Pelodiscus sinensis: one gene and its partner. The protein of the gene in region 1 purifies or fractionates together with the protein of each later gene. This does not show direct contact. Links are inferred from orthologs where the notes say so. Each region holds a gene or a part of one and is shown in the gene's direction. Other genes may lie near its edges.

Region 1 (7,617 bases):
TTTATAGGCTCAACCTGGCAACATTAAATCTGTCAGAGCAGGGACTACAGGGCATCTCCACTATAAGTCGCCCCGGTATACATCTGTTCTGCAATAAGTCACGGAGGCTTGTAGGAATTGATGTATTATAAGTCCTCCCATTCCCTGCTCTTAAATCATGCAAAAAACCCAACAACCCACTTTAAGTTGTTTTGTTTTTTGGAACGTATCTTGGACTTAGGGCGAGTATGGCCTGTATAATAATACAGTTCTATGGTTAAAATACAAACCCTAATTTAAACAGGAACTAAGTTACTTTCAACTCCCATTTTCCTCTTCCTTGTACCTCAAGGGTACATCTACACTGCGGGGGTTTCCAGTATCCTGGAAAAACTCTGCTGCGTCCAGGGAACATGTTTACTTTTCCGCTTCTTTTTGCGGAAGTGCAAACGTGCTCTTTTGGAAGCCCTGTCTTCCATGAGGAAGAAGGGATCTTCTGAAAGAGGGGGATTCTCTGAAATTTGGCCCAGTGTAGATGGGCCAAATTTCAAAAAAGCCTCTTAAAAAAAATCAGAAAAAGCTGTAGTGTAGACCTAGCCTAAGTAAGTAGCTCCTTAAACATCATCTTCTGAAGTGAGAACTGATTTTTGGTTCTACGCTAGTCTACCTTACTCAATACTGCTTAGCAGGAGACTGGTAAGAGGGGAAAACAGGGACAGTTCCAGGCTTCCAGACCCAGAACAACCAACCTACCCACTTCTTGCCTTGTGCTAACAAATTCGAGGAGCACTTGCAGCCACATACTTGCCTTGGAGATGGCTAATCCTGAAAGTTAAAAACCCCTCAGTAATAGCCTCTTAAGGGCTAACATATTGAAAACTGAAGTTTACAATGCCTACAGGCAGGGGCAGATGACCATTTCGCGGGGTCCAGGGCAGCATAATTTCGCGGGGCCCCCCTTTGCCACGGCGCATGCATAGGGCTTCTTGAAGCACGGAGCCTGGGGCGGCTGCCCCGCTTGCCCTGCCCTATATCCGTCCCTGCCTACGGGACTTCACTCTGCATTCAATACATGTGTTCATGCCATGTTTGAATATTAATAATGTTTTTAAACTTCTCTGGGCAAAACTTAAGTTCTACCTGTAACTAACAAACAAACAAGCAAAGAAAACAACCAAGCATCATTGGTCAAAGGTATGAGAAGCACTCTGAACTGCTGGTAATATGGGGCACCAATGAATCCATCCACTGAAGCTGTGTCTGGGCTGTTTATAAGCACAATCAGCCTCAAGACCAGCTGAGTTGCAGCTGCTTTTGCGGAAAAACGTGCCAACTGTCTACACTGGCCGCTTGAATTTCCGCAAGAACACTGACGATCTCATGTAACATTGTCAGTGTTCTTGCGGAAATGCTATGCTGCTCCATTCGGGCAAAAGCCCTCTTGCGCAAATGCTTTTGCGCAAGAGGGCCAGTGTAGACAACGCAGTATTGTTTTGCGCAAAAAAGCCCCGATCGCGAAAATGGCTTTTTTGTGCAAAAGCGCGTCTTGATTGGCACCAACGCTTTTCTGCAAAAAGTGCTTTTGCGGAAAAGTGTCCATGCCAATCTACATGCTCTTTTCCGCAAATGCTTTTAACGGAAAAAGTTTTCCGTTAAAAGCATTTGCGGAAAATCATGCCAGTCTAGACGTAGCCCTGGAGTTTAGGTTCTTCAGCTTTCAAGAGACAGATTCTCTATCAGCAATGGCAATACAGTTATTTAGAAATGTTATATTTCCAGAACCAGCACCCCCTCGAACACCCTGACACACCTCCAAACCTCCCCCCAGAGCTAACACCCTCCTGGACTCCAAGCCCTAGCTCTGAACCCGCTCTCAGAATTAGCACCCCAAAACCCCACCTCAACCCTTAGCCCTCCCTCAGAGCCAGCACTTCATACCTAGAATTTTTGTTCAGTGTCCACCTCAATAGTACCCAAAAGCCAAGTATCCTGAGGAGTGGCAATCTCTCTTCCCCCTTTAAAAATAGCCTCTTTTGTTTTATTTCAATGTAATAAGTGTGTCCCTCACCCTTGCACCCCATTCACCTCCATGCAGTGCAGCACTCCCATTATGTCTGTGTACAGTGCAGCACTCCCTGTGCCCCCCATCCTCATTCATTTTTACAATTCAGTCACCTCCTGCATCCCCATCCACTTCACATACCCATCCTATTCCCTCTTCTCTTCTTCTCTTCCCCCTCTCACTCCCATCTTGGTCATGTCCTTGGGTTCTTTCACTTTCCATCCTCTCCTCCCTCTCCCTATCTTTTCTCCTCCAGTCCAGCGGGGTGGTTTATGCAACCCCTGGTTGTCCCACAATGGCAAAAGATTCCCTTATTCCTGATTTTAAGAGGAATAAGGGACCTTTTGGAAAAGGCTTTATTTTCCGAAAGATCCCCGTCTAGATGGTGCTTTTTTCTGGCAAGGCCCCGAGCCGGAAAAAAGTGGCAGCCATGTTTATACAAATGAAGCGGGGAAAATTTAAATCCCCGCTGCATTTGCAATTCCAACTTGTCTCATCTGCATCCCTTTTCCGGCCAATATGTTTGTTCCTCTAAAATAATAATACTGTCGCCCAGTAGAGACTTATGATTGAAGGAAAGAGAACTTTAATAATAGCTTTAAGCAGACTATGGAACTCAGTTCCAAATGAAATAAGAATGACTGAAAACCTCACTATGTTCAAAACTAAATACAACACATATCTCTTTGATTTAGCTAGCATTCCTTAAATTTCCTTAAATAGTGTTCCTTCTCTCTCTCTCACACACACACCATAAACCAAGCAACAATCTATATGTTAATATTTTCCTATGGAAAAAATAAAAAAAGGAAATTTTGTAGTGTTAATATGAGCTATGTTATGGGCTTTTGCTGGCACAGCTATGTCAGGCAGAGATGACATCTCATCACACCCCTGACATAGTCAGGCTGCCAAAAGCTGGCCGTGCAGACCTGACTCAAGTGTTATAGTTGCAAAATATGTGAGTTTTCAGAAGGCCAGGAATACGTCTGAGACTGCGATCAGCCCCATTCATCTTAGTGAGGTGTTAACTCAGAGTCCCATATTGGTAATTTGAATGTGAACATTTTAACTGCTTCATTCCTCATGACAGGCCTTATCTGTCCAGTGACACCTCTTGAATAATATTGATTTATTTAAAACAGTAGGGTCATCTTAGGGCAGACACATTATAGTCCCTTGGCTATATCGACATTATACTTACTCGAAGGCAAACGTTCTCTCATTACACCATGACCCCTTCTGACAATAAATAATGCTACGTGATGCCAGGGCGGGGGCAAACCAAAGCCTGAGCCCCACAGCCCTGGGCAGTGGGTGGAGGAGGCAAAGCCGGAGGCCCACTGTCCTGGGAGGAGGGGAAAAGCCCAAGCACTTCAGCCTCGGGTGATTGTTCCCAGGGATGGCTTTTGGTGCACATGGCAGCATAGGGCGTGTGCATCTCCAGGTGGATCACATGGAAGAGCCACACTTGCTCAACAGAGAACAGTGGGTCCAGCTTGCAACCTGAGCCTTACCAGGGACAGCTGCAGCCCTGGGACCTGTGGCTCAGTCTTTAGCCCCAGCAAGTCTAACGCCAGCCCAAGCAGCCAGGCTGTGTCTACACTGGGCCACTTATTCCGGAAAATCAGCCACTTTTCCGGAATAAGCTGCGAGCTGTCTACACTGGCCCTTGAATTTCCGGAAAAGCAACGACGCTCTACTGTACAAAATCAGCCGCTATTCCGGAAAAACTATTCTGCTCCCACTCGGGCATAAGTCCTTATTCCGGAACACTGTTCCGGAAAAGGGCCAGTGTAGACAGCCCAGTAGTCTTTTCCGGAAAAAAGCCCCGATCGCGAAAATGGCAATCGGGGCTCTTTTCCGGAAAAGCGCGTCTACATTGGCCACAGACGCTTTTCCGGAAAAAAAGCTTTTCCGGAAAAGCAGCCTGCCAATGTAGACGCTCCTTTTCTGGAAAAACTGAAAACGGAATAGTATTCCGTTTTAAGCAGTTCCGGAAATTCATGCCAGTGTAGACACAGCCCCAGTGTTCCCTGTAAACCATGTGCCCGTGCGACTGCTCAGGAGACATTCAAATGCTGATTTGCAGCGTGGGCGTGCACAGCTGGGTGTTGTTTCTGGTGGTGGTGCACATTGGCACATGCCTTAGTGCACAGACACATTTTATTCCACACACGATGGAAAAAAATCCGCACGTGGACGCACTGGAGGGCGCGTTGGTGGCCACCCACTTTGGGGTCCCCAAGCACTGGGAGGAGCAGGGCTCCCCGGCGACGTCACACCGTGGGGTGAAGGGGTCTGGGTGAAGGGCCTGTTTAATTGCAGCACAGACATGGGGGGGGGGAGGGGCGCTCGCCGCCATTTTGAACACACGGCGCCCCTCTCCCCCTTGGCCGGGGTGGGAGGGGGCAGAGCTCGCGAGAGCTCACGCGGCCGGGCAGGAGCACGCGAGCGAGGCCGGCGCAGGCGCTCGGGGGTCGCGTGGCCGCGGCGGCGGGGGAAATCCCGGGGAAGGGGCGGGGCTGGAGGGCGCAGCTCTCGCGAGAGCGCCGAGACTATATATGGGAGTGGGCGGGGAGCAGGCGTCCCTTAGTGCGATTCCGTCCGGAGCGCTGCCGCTGCCCGCCGGAGGAGCAGGCCCGAGAGCATGGAGGACAGCAGCATGGACATGGAGAGCATGGGCCCCCTGCGCCCCCAGACCTTCCTCTTCGGTAACCCCCCCTCGCCGCCCCACCTCGCCGCGCGCGGCCGCCCGCCTCGTGCGTGTGGCGCAGCCGCTTGGGCCCAGGCCGCGCGCGGGCTTGTCGCGCGCGCTCCAGAGGCCGGGCTGTGAGGTGGGGGCGCGCGACCAGGCTTGGCGGGCCTGAGGGAGGGGGGGGGGTGGCGGGGATGGCTCTAGGGGCGGGCTCCCCCGCCCCACGTGGCGCGCGCTGGCACGTGGCGCCTGCTGCGGCCTCCAGCTCCTGGCAGGGCCCGGCGCTTTGTTCTCTCCCCTCCCCCCTCCGAATGCCGCGGCGGCCGTTGGTTCCTAGGGACGCGCCTGGGGCGCACGTGGCAGCGCGTGGAAGGGCCGCGTCCGCTCGGCAGAGCACGCGCTGGGGTGACCCTGGGGGCGCGTATTTACCACGTGATCCCCCGGCCAGCCCGCGAGACCCTTTGCAGCTGGTGCAGGTCGCCCTCGGGCCCCGTGGGTGACCCACTGGGCGGGCCACGTGCTCTGGCCGCGGGGAGCTGCGGTACCCAGACTGCGCCGGCTGCTTTCCGCTGCTCAGGCTGGGGTGTGGCCTGCGGAGGCGTCTGCGTTTTGCACCCGCGTGCAGACTTCTGAAACGCGGGCTGGGGATGCTGCGGAAGCGGAGAGACGCAGCGTTTCATCGCCAACCTACTCGCCCTGTGTCTCTTGCAGGTTGTGAGCTAAAAGCAGATAAGGACTTTCATTTCAAGGTGGATGATGAGGAAAACGAACACCAGCTGTCACTGAGAACAGTAAGTCCTTGTCTCAGGAAACGCACGTGGGAGAGCTGCAAGAATGGTTTTCCCCTTTCCCAATGGTGGGCAGCAATACATGTGAATAACTGAATTATTCTCCCAGCCTGTCCTGCTGTGTTCAGCATGGAATTCTGTGTCTCTTTGTGTTTTGGTGCTGCATCGTGACATTTATAAAAAAAACTATTATACTACTATAAAAAGTAATTTGGGGTCACTGTAAAATTATATGAAACTTTTCTATTCTGTCTGTAATTTTTACTAGCTTTTCTTCATAATTTTTGAAGTCGTCAACAGTAATTGCCTAAGAACCCTTGTTTTGTGAAGATGAAGAGAAACCAACATTTAAAATAAACATATATTCTAGATTGGTACAGAGGAACTCTGTTTTGGAAAAGTGAAAGGGATTTGTAATACAAACTGAGTATTTATTATATCTTTCTCCACTTCTAAAATAAAACACCCAGATGTTGAGCTTAAATATTTTGTTACTAAGCAATTTGTTCACTTATTTGCCAGTCGCACAATTCAGTATTTTCCATTGTAAGACTTGATGTAGTACAACTTCACTTTTGCCCCATAGCAGGGTGAAGGGATTTAAATCACTGATTTTAATCATGACAAGCAAGGAACCACAATTTAAATACACAGTTTTAATTGTGGGTTTATAAAGATGTTGATTTTCAATTTATGAAAATATTTTGATTTGCAACTACATACATTCTTGTTTTTGATGTTTTATGCTAGCCAGGTTACACTATATATACAGACTTATTTAAGCTATTAAATAGCATAACGTATGTTAGAAAATGGTGAATGCTGCGTTTCTCTATTAGATTCTCATGCTATATTTTAATAGAAATGCAAAATAAAATACACAAAACAACTTTTTTAACTTTATTTAATAAAACTTGTTGGTACATATGAAAACAAAAAGTTTGCTGCATTCCTCACTCTGACTGGGGAGTGCTTTGCTCCTTCCGAAAGGGGAAAGAGCAAGCAGCCCTGGTACAGATTTTGGAGGATAGGCTTTTACCTACATAAACACACAAACCCCATCTCACTCCTGCACACGCCCCAAATTCCCAGCCCTCTGCTTTGAGTCCCTCCTTAAGGAGCCAAGCAACACCAGGTAAATGTGCTAGTGTACTATAATGTCCTGCTCAGATGAACATATATGTTCATTACTAGAACAATGTTTCTCATAATAAATGAGCATGGTTTCCCTGGAATCAAATGTATTTTAAGTCAAGGATGATCTAAGAAAGTTCACAGTAAAAAATACTGTCTTAAGTTTCTGTATCTGCGACTGTTTTGCTACAATCCTAACAGTAGGAAAAGGTATTGCCTCTAATGCAGTTAGCGTGGGATAAAAAACTATTGTTCTACATACACAAACTTCTAGCAGCTAAGGTTACATGTACAAAAGCAAAAAAGGCCACTTGCCAGCAGCATGCCTGCCTCCTAGCCACACTTCAACACTGATCACATTAACTGCATGAGTATGGAGGAATGACAGCCTTCACTTCGAGCAGCATCACTATGGAGAATTTGTTCTGAAGTATTCAACATTCATAATATGATGTTTCATAATTTAACAGATAGTAATTTATTAGTACATAGTAAGTTTTTAAAGAGTAGCCTGTCCCTTAAATGTTACAAGGTCAATATAAAAAAAAGCTACAGAACATAGTAAAACATAAACAAGAAATGTCATACAAGATAAAAATATTAAACTCATGAATGTATTGAAGATGTATTTGAATGTAAAAGTTTATCGTAATAATTTTACAAGTTAGAATGGTGGTTCAGCTTTTCAGAAAGGATAATATATTTCACTTCTTGCATAGGTTAGTTTGGGTGCTGGTGTCAAAGATGAATTGCATGTCATAGAAGCTGAGGCATTGGACTATGAAGGGAACCCTATTAAGGTCACACTGGCATCTTTGAAAATGTCAGTACAGCCTACGGTAAGGACAAGCCTGTACATTACCACTTCACACCAAAGTTTATTAATAATAGTCTCACTAAGACATACTAACACAGTGGAAATCATAGTAAAGCAAATCCTTGTTTCTCACGTTAAC
Region 2 (7,979 bases), on another chromosome or scaffold:
AACGGGCCTGGGTTGTCGCAGGCAGAGGCTGCTCCGGTTGTCTTGGCCGCAGCCGGCCTGGGCGCAACAACCGAAGCCCCGACTGCAATGCACCTGGGCCCACCACAGATAGGGCTGGGCAGAAACAGCTCCTGCCTGCATCTGAGGGGGATGAGGGGAGGCACAGGAAGGGACTGCCCTGGCAAGGCTACAGCAGCTCCGACCCAGGCACCCCCCACCTGTCCCTCTTTAATCAATTAACCAGTTAAACATGGTTGACTGGTTAACCAATGAAATGGGATTTTACATCCCTAGCACAGACATGGGCAAATGATAGTCAACATTTTGTCAGTTAGTTCAGGAGAAAATCTACTGGCCTCCCGGTCTACCCACCACTTGCAACATGATGCTTGCTTTGACCACGGCTTGTCCTTTTGTGCCCTGTTGAGTCAGACGTGGCCAGCAGCAGGCCCTCTACCATAATTAAAAACATTGTTAGACACAATTTAGTGTTCTAGTAAAGACAAGCCTGTGCTGAATTACAGTTTTGCCCTTTTCCATCCGCTGTAAATCCCCAGAAAGAATAAAATAATAGCGACAAGAAAAGTGAGAAATTCTTTCCCCTTCATCTCAAGGGAATGTTAACTATGCTCACAGCTTCTCTGCATTTGTCAGCTCAAGCAACTCGTGGGTTATGAAGATCTGCCTCCTGCCTTATATTTTGGGCCAAAAAACCAGTTTTTATGATTTTTAAATTAAAAATAGAGGTTCTGACGCCTCCTCCTGGAAAACCCTGAGTGAGAGATTTAAACTCCAGCCCCTTGCAGATTTAGCTGATTTGCATGTCAGGCAGATGCAATCTTCCTTTTTCTGTCACACTCTCTACTTACATGTTGAGTTGGTTAAAGTTGTTACATTGCAGCCTTCCGGTACAGAGTGGGCGGGGAATTAATGCCACAGAGATGGAGAATATAGTGACTAATACGTCCTAGGGAATTGTGATGTCACAGAAAATGAAGTGATAGGTGCCACTGACAGAAGGTGTTGTAAGGATATGTCTACACTTCCAGATAGGGGTGACATTTTATAGATTAAGCTGTTTGAGACGGGGATTGCTTCTCACTGGCTACGTCTACACTGGCCCCTTTTCCGGAAGGGGCATGTAAATTTCACTAGTCGTCGTAGGGAAATCCGCGGGGGATTTAAATATCCCCCGCGGCATTTAAATAAAAATGTCCGCCGCTTTTTTCCGGCTTTTAAAAAAGCCGGAAAAGAGCGTCTAGACTGGCCCCGATCCTCTGGAAAAAGTGCCCTTTTCCGGAGGCTCTTATTCCTACTTTGAATAAGAAATAAGAGGAAGTAGGAATAAGAGCCTCTGGAAAAGGGCACTTTTTCCGGAGGATCGGGGCCAGTCTAGACGCTCTTTTCCGGCTTTTTTAAAAGCCGGAAAAAAGCGGCGGACATTTTTATTTAAATGCCGCGGGGGATATTTAAATCCCCCGCGGATTTCCCTACGACGACTAGTGAAATTTACATGCCCCTTCCGGAAAAGGGGCCAGTGTAGACGTAGCCACTCTGTTTGAAGAATGCCATGCCTAATGGGCTCTCGACAGTGTTGTCAGCTAAAATGTACTGGATTTATACAGGTTGCACTGTGAAATCTTAGCTGTTTTGTACAGAATAGGATCTACCAACAGCAAAGATTATTTAGTGTGTATAATGGAATCTGTCATCTGCATGTAAAGAGATGACTAAGGAGGGTCCATGATAGAGTTTTATAAAAGCATGACTGGTGTGGAAAAAATGAATAAAGAACTGTTATTTTCTCTTTTCCATAACACAAGAACTAGGCGGTTGCCAAATGAAATTAATAGGTAACAGGTTTAAAACAAACCATGAAGTTTTTCTTCACTGTCAACCTGTGGAACTCCCTGCCAGAGGACGTTGCGAAGACCAGGACTTTAACAGGGTTCAGAAAAGAGCTAGATAAATTCATGGAGGTTAGGCCCATCAATGGCTATTAGCCAGGATGGGTAGGAATGGTGTCCCAAGCCTCTGTTTGTCAGAAGCTAGGAATGGGTGACAAGGGATGGGTTTATGAAGGGGATGGTTTGATGACATAACATGATCTTGGTAACTAATTGACCTTTCACTATCAATGGTAAATTGGCCAATGGAGGGATGATAGGAGTTACCCAGGAAAGGTTCTCTATAGTATCTGGCTGGTGAGTCTTGCCCACATGCTCAGGGTTTAGCTGATCGCCATATTTGGGGTCGGGAAGGAATTTTCCTTCAGGGTACATTGGCAGAGGCCCTGGAGGTTTTTCACCTTCTTCTGTAGCATGGGACACGGATCACTTGCTGGAAGATTCTCTGCATCTTGGGGGTCTTTAAACCATATCTGAGATATAGGTGAGCGGATTATTTCAGGAGTGGGTGGGTGAGATTGTGTAGCCTGCGTTGTGCAGGGGGTCAGACTAGATGATCATAATGGTCCCTTCTGACCTTAAAAGCCTATGGCTGCGTCTAGACTGGCATGATTTTGCGGAAATACTTTTAACAGAAAAGTTTTTCCGTTAAAAGTATTTCCACAAAAGCGCATCTAGATTGGTATGGATGCTTTTGCACAAAAAGTACTTTTGCACAAAAGCATCCGTGGCCAGTCTAGACGCGATTTTGCGCAACAAAGCCCCGATCGCCATTTTAGCCATCGGGGCTTTTTTGCTCAAAACAGTTCTTCCCTGTCTACACTGGCCCGCTTGCACAAGTATTCTTACACAAGAGGGCTTTTTCCCGAGTGGGCGTGGGAAAGTATTTGTGCAAAAAGCACTGATTTTGTACATTACAAAGTCAGCGCTCCTGCGCAAATTCAAGCGGCCAGTGTAGACAGCTTGCCAGTCTAGAGGCACCCTAGACAAAATCTTGCCAGTCTAGAGGCACCCTCCAAGTCTATGAGGGATAAATCACTGGTCTGTTCATTCCCTTTGGGGCACCTGGCATTGGCCACTGTCAGAAGACAGGACACTGGGCTAGATGGGCCTTTGGTCTAGGCGTTCTTATGTGCCACGGCTCTTACTTTTTATGCCATCTAAATTCAAGATTGCACAGGGTGGTGAGTGTGATAGGCAGGGGGCGGCCATCACTGCCTTCCACCTGGTTCATGGATGCACCGTCTCTTCCCCAAGACCCTAACCTCCTGCTGTAGCTGTGCTTCCTGGTGAGTTTTCCTCATTTACTCTATTGCTCCCTCCCCCCCATCCCTTCCTCAGTAAGTCCCCACCACTTGCTGTGTCCCTCTTCTCCGCCACATGCTCCATCCCCGCTGTGCCAGGGGTGAGGAGGGAAGTGGCAGGCAGCACGTGAGGAAGCGAGCAGTGGGGGGAGGAGTGAGAAGGATGTGGTGAGCAGCAGCAGCAGGAGTGAAGCACGGAGGCTGGGGGGGGACGGGACCTGAGGTGGAGTGTGGACAGGGTCAGTAATGCTATGGTGAAGACTGGACACGGAGCTAGCCTCCCCCAGGGGAAGCGTCACCCACTGCCCATGCAAAATTATCTCACTTGCCATTGGAAGTGAGCATAACCCACAGTCTGGCCTGTGTTCCGCAGGTATGTCTATACATACTGCAAGTGACAGTGTGATTTGTAGCACTGGTAACCAAAGACAGTAAAGCACACATGGAGGCTGTGTCTCGACTGGTCAGTTTTTCCAGAAAATCAGCAGCTTTTCCGGAAAAACTTGCCAGTTGTCTACACTGGCCGCTTGAATTTCCGCAAAAGCACTGACTTCCTACTGTAAGAAATCAGTGCTTTTTGTGGAAATACTATGCTGCTCCCGTTCGAGCAAAAGTCCCTTTTGCGCAAAAAGGCCAGTGTAGACAGCTGAGATTAGTTTTGCGCAAAAAAGCCCCGATCACGAACATGGCGATCAGAGCTTTTTTGTGCAAAAGCGCGTCTAGATTGGCCTAAAAGTGCTTTTGCGGAAAAGCGTCCGTGCCAATCTAGACGCTCTGTTCCGAACATGCTTTTAACGGAAAACTTTTCCGTTAAAAGCATTTCCGGAAAATCATGACAGTCTAGACATGACAGTCTACCGTAGCCGGACAGTGGTGGCAAAGGCTTCATCACAGACTAGCCTAGCTGGGCAGCCTGGGTATGCATTCTGATTGCTAACTTGTGCCACTGTTACCTAAACTAGATTAAAACTAGCACAGGAATGCACTGTACTACAACTACATCTTCACTTGCATTGTTGACTTACCCCTCCAAAGAACAAGATAGAAACAGAGTACTGAGGAGCAAGATGGATAAAGAAGGAAGGGAAAAGATAAGGAAGAAAATTGGGAGAGAGAAAATAGGTTAATCTTAAACTCTCACAAACCAAAACAAAGGGGGGAGTCCTTATCCAAAGTCAAGATTTGACCCTGATTATATGTGAGGAACTTTGCTACTGTAAGGAACCCAGATACCATGGTGATGGGCAGTAGCATAAAAGAGTGTAGATCACTAAGAAACCTCCCTCTCTAAGTCATCAGCAGCGCAAATCGCCCTGTCCTAGTCCCTGGGCGGGGGTTCCTATGCAGCCACATGCCCCTAGGGTTGGGTTGATCGCCGGCCCCAGGCTCTTCCTGTCTCCCCCCATTTCCCCCGCCATGGGGTAAGGACCCGACCCCTGTGCTCGCAGCGTGAAGTCCCAGACGCACGTGGTTCCCCCAGAGCCACGTGCTGCGCCCTTCCTTTTTCCCCATCCCCTCCCCCATCCGAACCCCATCCGCGCGCAGCCGCCTATTGGCTATATTGCCCCTCCTCCCCAACGGGCAGGACCTCTCGCTGTAACGCGCGCTCCCATTGGCCGGTGGCAAGCCCGCGCGGATTGGTGTGAATGCCCCCCCCTCGGAGCTCGGCGATTGGGCGGGCGTGCGGAGCTAAGCGCGACGCGCGTAGGGGTTGGCCGAGCGGGACCATGGGGGGCGGAGCGAAGCATAAGCAAGGGGGGAGGCTGGGGGAGGGGCGGCGCTCACTCTTTCACTTCAGCGCAGCACACAGTCGAGTCGCTGCTCCCGCCGCCGCCTGTCGCACCCGGATCGGCCCGCGCCGCCCCGCCGCCATCATGGTAAAGATCGCCAAGGTGAGGCCCGCGGCGCGCGCCAGGCCCGGGGGCCCCGCGGCCGTTAGGCCCCAGCGCGGCGAGCCGAAGGCCCGGGCGGACTCGGCCAGGCCCCAGCCCGGAGGGGGGAGGGAAGAGGCCGCTTGGCGCGGGGGTTTCGGGACTCCCTGAGGGGGGGGATGGTGCCTCCCCCCTCCCCCGTTAGGTTTGGTGCGGTCCGCGCCGCTGCGTTCGGGGCGGTTTCTAGGCCCCTCTACGGCCGTTGGGGGGGGGGGGGGGGAGTTGTTTCTAGGCTCCCCCTCGGGGCTCGCGGCGGAAGCCAGAGGGTCGGCGCGCGCGCGCTGGGGAGAGGAGGGGGGCGGAGCCGGAGGCGCGCGCTGCCGGATGGGAAGGCCTCAGGCTGCGTGGGGCGGCCACGTGGTGTCCCCGGCGCGGCGAGCACGCGGCGCGGCCTGTCCCGCGTGGTTCCAGGCCCTTTGTGGCGCCCGGCGCTTGCGAGGCCCCGGCTGCACGAGCCGCGATAGGGGGCGGGCTTGGCCCTGTCTGAAGGGGGGGGGGGGGGCAGCGTGTCTATACACCAGGGATTCCCCCCCCCCTCTCCATCCACTGTCTCATTAAAGCTCTGCGCCTGCGCGCACACCGCAGCCTCGGCGGGTTTGCGCTCCGCGTGGCTTATTCCCCCCCCCCCCCCCCCCCCGCAGGAGTTGGTCCAGTAAAAAAATAATTTCTGCAGTCGCCCTGTGGCTCGTGAGCAGGCGTGTCACGTGGTGTGGGAAGCGCCTGGGCCCCTAATGCGGGGGACACAGGCCAGCAGGTTCCTAGGTTTGATGTGGACGTGCAGGGGTGCCCCCCCCCCCTCCCGTTGTAATCAACCACTTGCAAGGCCGGTTTGGAAGCAGTTTTGCGAAAAAGTCAAAATGGATCTTGACTTAAAGTGTTTTATGGCTTTGGGGTACTTTACGTTTAAAAAAATATATTTCTCTACAATGGAAGCTTAAGTGGGTGACCTCTCATGTGCGTTCTTCCAGAGTCCGAAGAATCAAGCCAAACAGAAGAAAGTGGCTCCTCCCCCCCCAAAAGATGTAGATGATAGCGAGGAGGAGGAGTCCTCCGAGGAAGAAGACAGCAGTGAGGAAGAGGTGATCATTTTACATCTGGATTCTAGCTTGCTATATGTTACTTTGGGAATTGGGATGTCGACACGTAGTTAACTAAACAATTAACTAAAAAGCCTAAGTTTACCAAAATGCAGGACAATGTAGCACTTTAAAGACTAACAAGGTGGTTTATTAGATGATGAGCTTTCGTGGGCCAGACCCACTTCCTCAGATCAAATAGTGGAAGAAAGTAGTCACAACCATATATACCAAAGGATACAATTAAAAAAAAAAAAAAAAGTTTACCAGTTCATCCTGTCAGCTACATGTGGCGCCCCTCCTCTTCTCCCCCCCCCCCCCCCCCCCGGCCTTTGTTACGAAGCAGAGGCAGTTCTGTAGGGAATTCGGATCTCCCCACAGACAGGGGTTGCTGCTGCTCTGCACTTTTGCCCCCATATCAGACAGTAAGGGGGGGGGGCAAAGTGGCACGGGGGCTGCCCAGGTGTGGGGCTGGAGTGCTCTGGATACCGGCTCCACCCCAGGGACTATCGAATAGTCATGTATCTGCTTAAAAAAATGATGCCATTACGCAACTATTCAGTTACACGTTACTGAAAATTAATCATTTGAGAAACACAACTCAGAAGCCTTCACTGAATGAAATAGAGGAATAAATAGATTGAGACAGTGACTTCAAATGTAGCACTGTAAAGCTTTGAGTGTATTGAGGGAACACTTCAGTGAACTAATTATTTTCCAATTTGTTCTTTTCCCATAAAGCTAGGGGAGAATACTGGGATGTAAAAGCTTATCCGGTAAGCCTCATCTGTAACGGCTGAGGTTTATTAGTTCCGGTTAACTGGTGGGGGCTGGAGCACCTTCCCGCCTATCCAGGACAGGGAGCTGTGCCAGGACCACCGGAGCAAGTGCTGTCCATGGCGGTTCCCACCCCCTGCAGCTTACACGATGGCTCCCAGGAGCAGGGCTGGCAACAGAGCCTTCTCCCTGGGAGTGGGACCAGCAGCAGTTTCTGCTGGCTCCACTCCAAGGGAGGCTTTGCTTGGGCTTTGCAATATAAGTTTTATATCGCAGTGCATGCAGCACATGTAATTCATTATTTTTAGTGGCTATGGGTTCACATTTTTACATCCCTCGAATACTCAAGAGTTGCTAGCTATGGGTATTTTATCACAAACAAAGTAGCTGTTAGTAAGGGTACCTGGTAATACTCAGCGCTTACCAAGCACTTTTAATATTGGTTTCTCTTTGCACTTGCTAACCCCACCACCACAAGAGGTCCAAGATGTGGAGGGAAGCGGCGGGGGGTGGGTGATGCAGAAACAGGCATAGGTGTGGCACAAGTTCATATGTAACAGGGAGATTTATATTTTATATGTAAATGAAGGACAGTCGTTTAGTCCGTGGTGAGCCGCCAAGGTGGCTCTATGGTATAGTCATTGGCCCTCTTTCTAGGTGCTCCAGTAGAAGAGCTAGCTTGCTGAATGGTTGTGGTGGATAGGTGGTTGTGGTGGGATGGGTAGTGATATCATTCATTAGCTGAACAATCAATTTAGGAGTTGCGTATGCTCATTGGATTTGTCTTGTTTCCCTAAGGGTGTTCCTCAGAAGAAGGTGGTAACCCCAAAAGCAGCAGCTACACCTGGCAAAAAGGCTGCCACTCCGGCCAAGAAGGCAGTTGCCACTCCAGCCAAGAAGGCAGTTGCTACACAAGCCAAGAAAGCAGTTCCCACTCCAGCCAAAGGAGCTAAAAATGGAAAAAATGCAAAGAAAAAAGTGATG

What was found.
Region 2: the proteins of NPM1 (region 1) and NCL purify together in Homo sapiens (affinity purification with mass spectrometry; 8 studies listed by BioGRID and IntAct, counting the BioPlex papers as one, with this or other methods). This does not show direct contact. The link is inferred for Pelodiscus sinensis from reciprocal best matches to the Homo sapiens genes NPM1 and NCL.

The regions. Positions count from the first base shown.
Region 1 is NC_134727.1:4,855,119-4,862,735, reverse strand, and holds the start of NPM1 (nucleophosmin), read left to right. Parts: upstream 1-4,598; 5' UTR 4,599-4,691; coding exon 4,692-4,755; intron 4,756-5,450; coding exon 5,451-5,530; intron 5,531-7,380; coding exon 7,381-7,500; intron 7,501-7,617. UniProt on the Homo sapiens protein: Involved in diverse cellular processes such as ribosome biogenesis, centrosome duplication, protein chaperoning, histone assembly, cell proliferation, and regulation of tumor suppressors p53/TP53 and ARF.
Region 2 is NC_134720.1:50,310,351-50,318,329, forward strand, and holds the start of NCL (nucleolin), read left to right. Parts: upstream 1-4,968; 5' UTR 4,969-5,085; coding exon 5,086-5,103; intron 5,104-6,110; coding exon 6,111-6,221; intron 6,222-7,793; coding exon 7,794-7,979. UniProt on the Homo sapiens protein: Nucleolin is the major nucleolar protein of growing eukaryotic cells. It is found associated with intranucleolar chromatin and pre-ribosomal particles. It induces chromatin decondensation by binding to histone H1.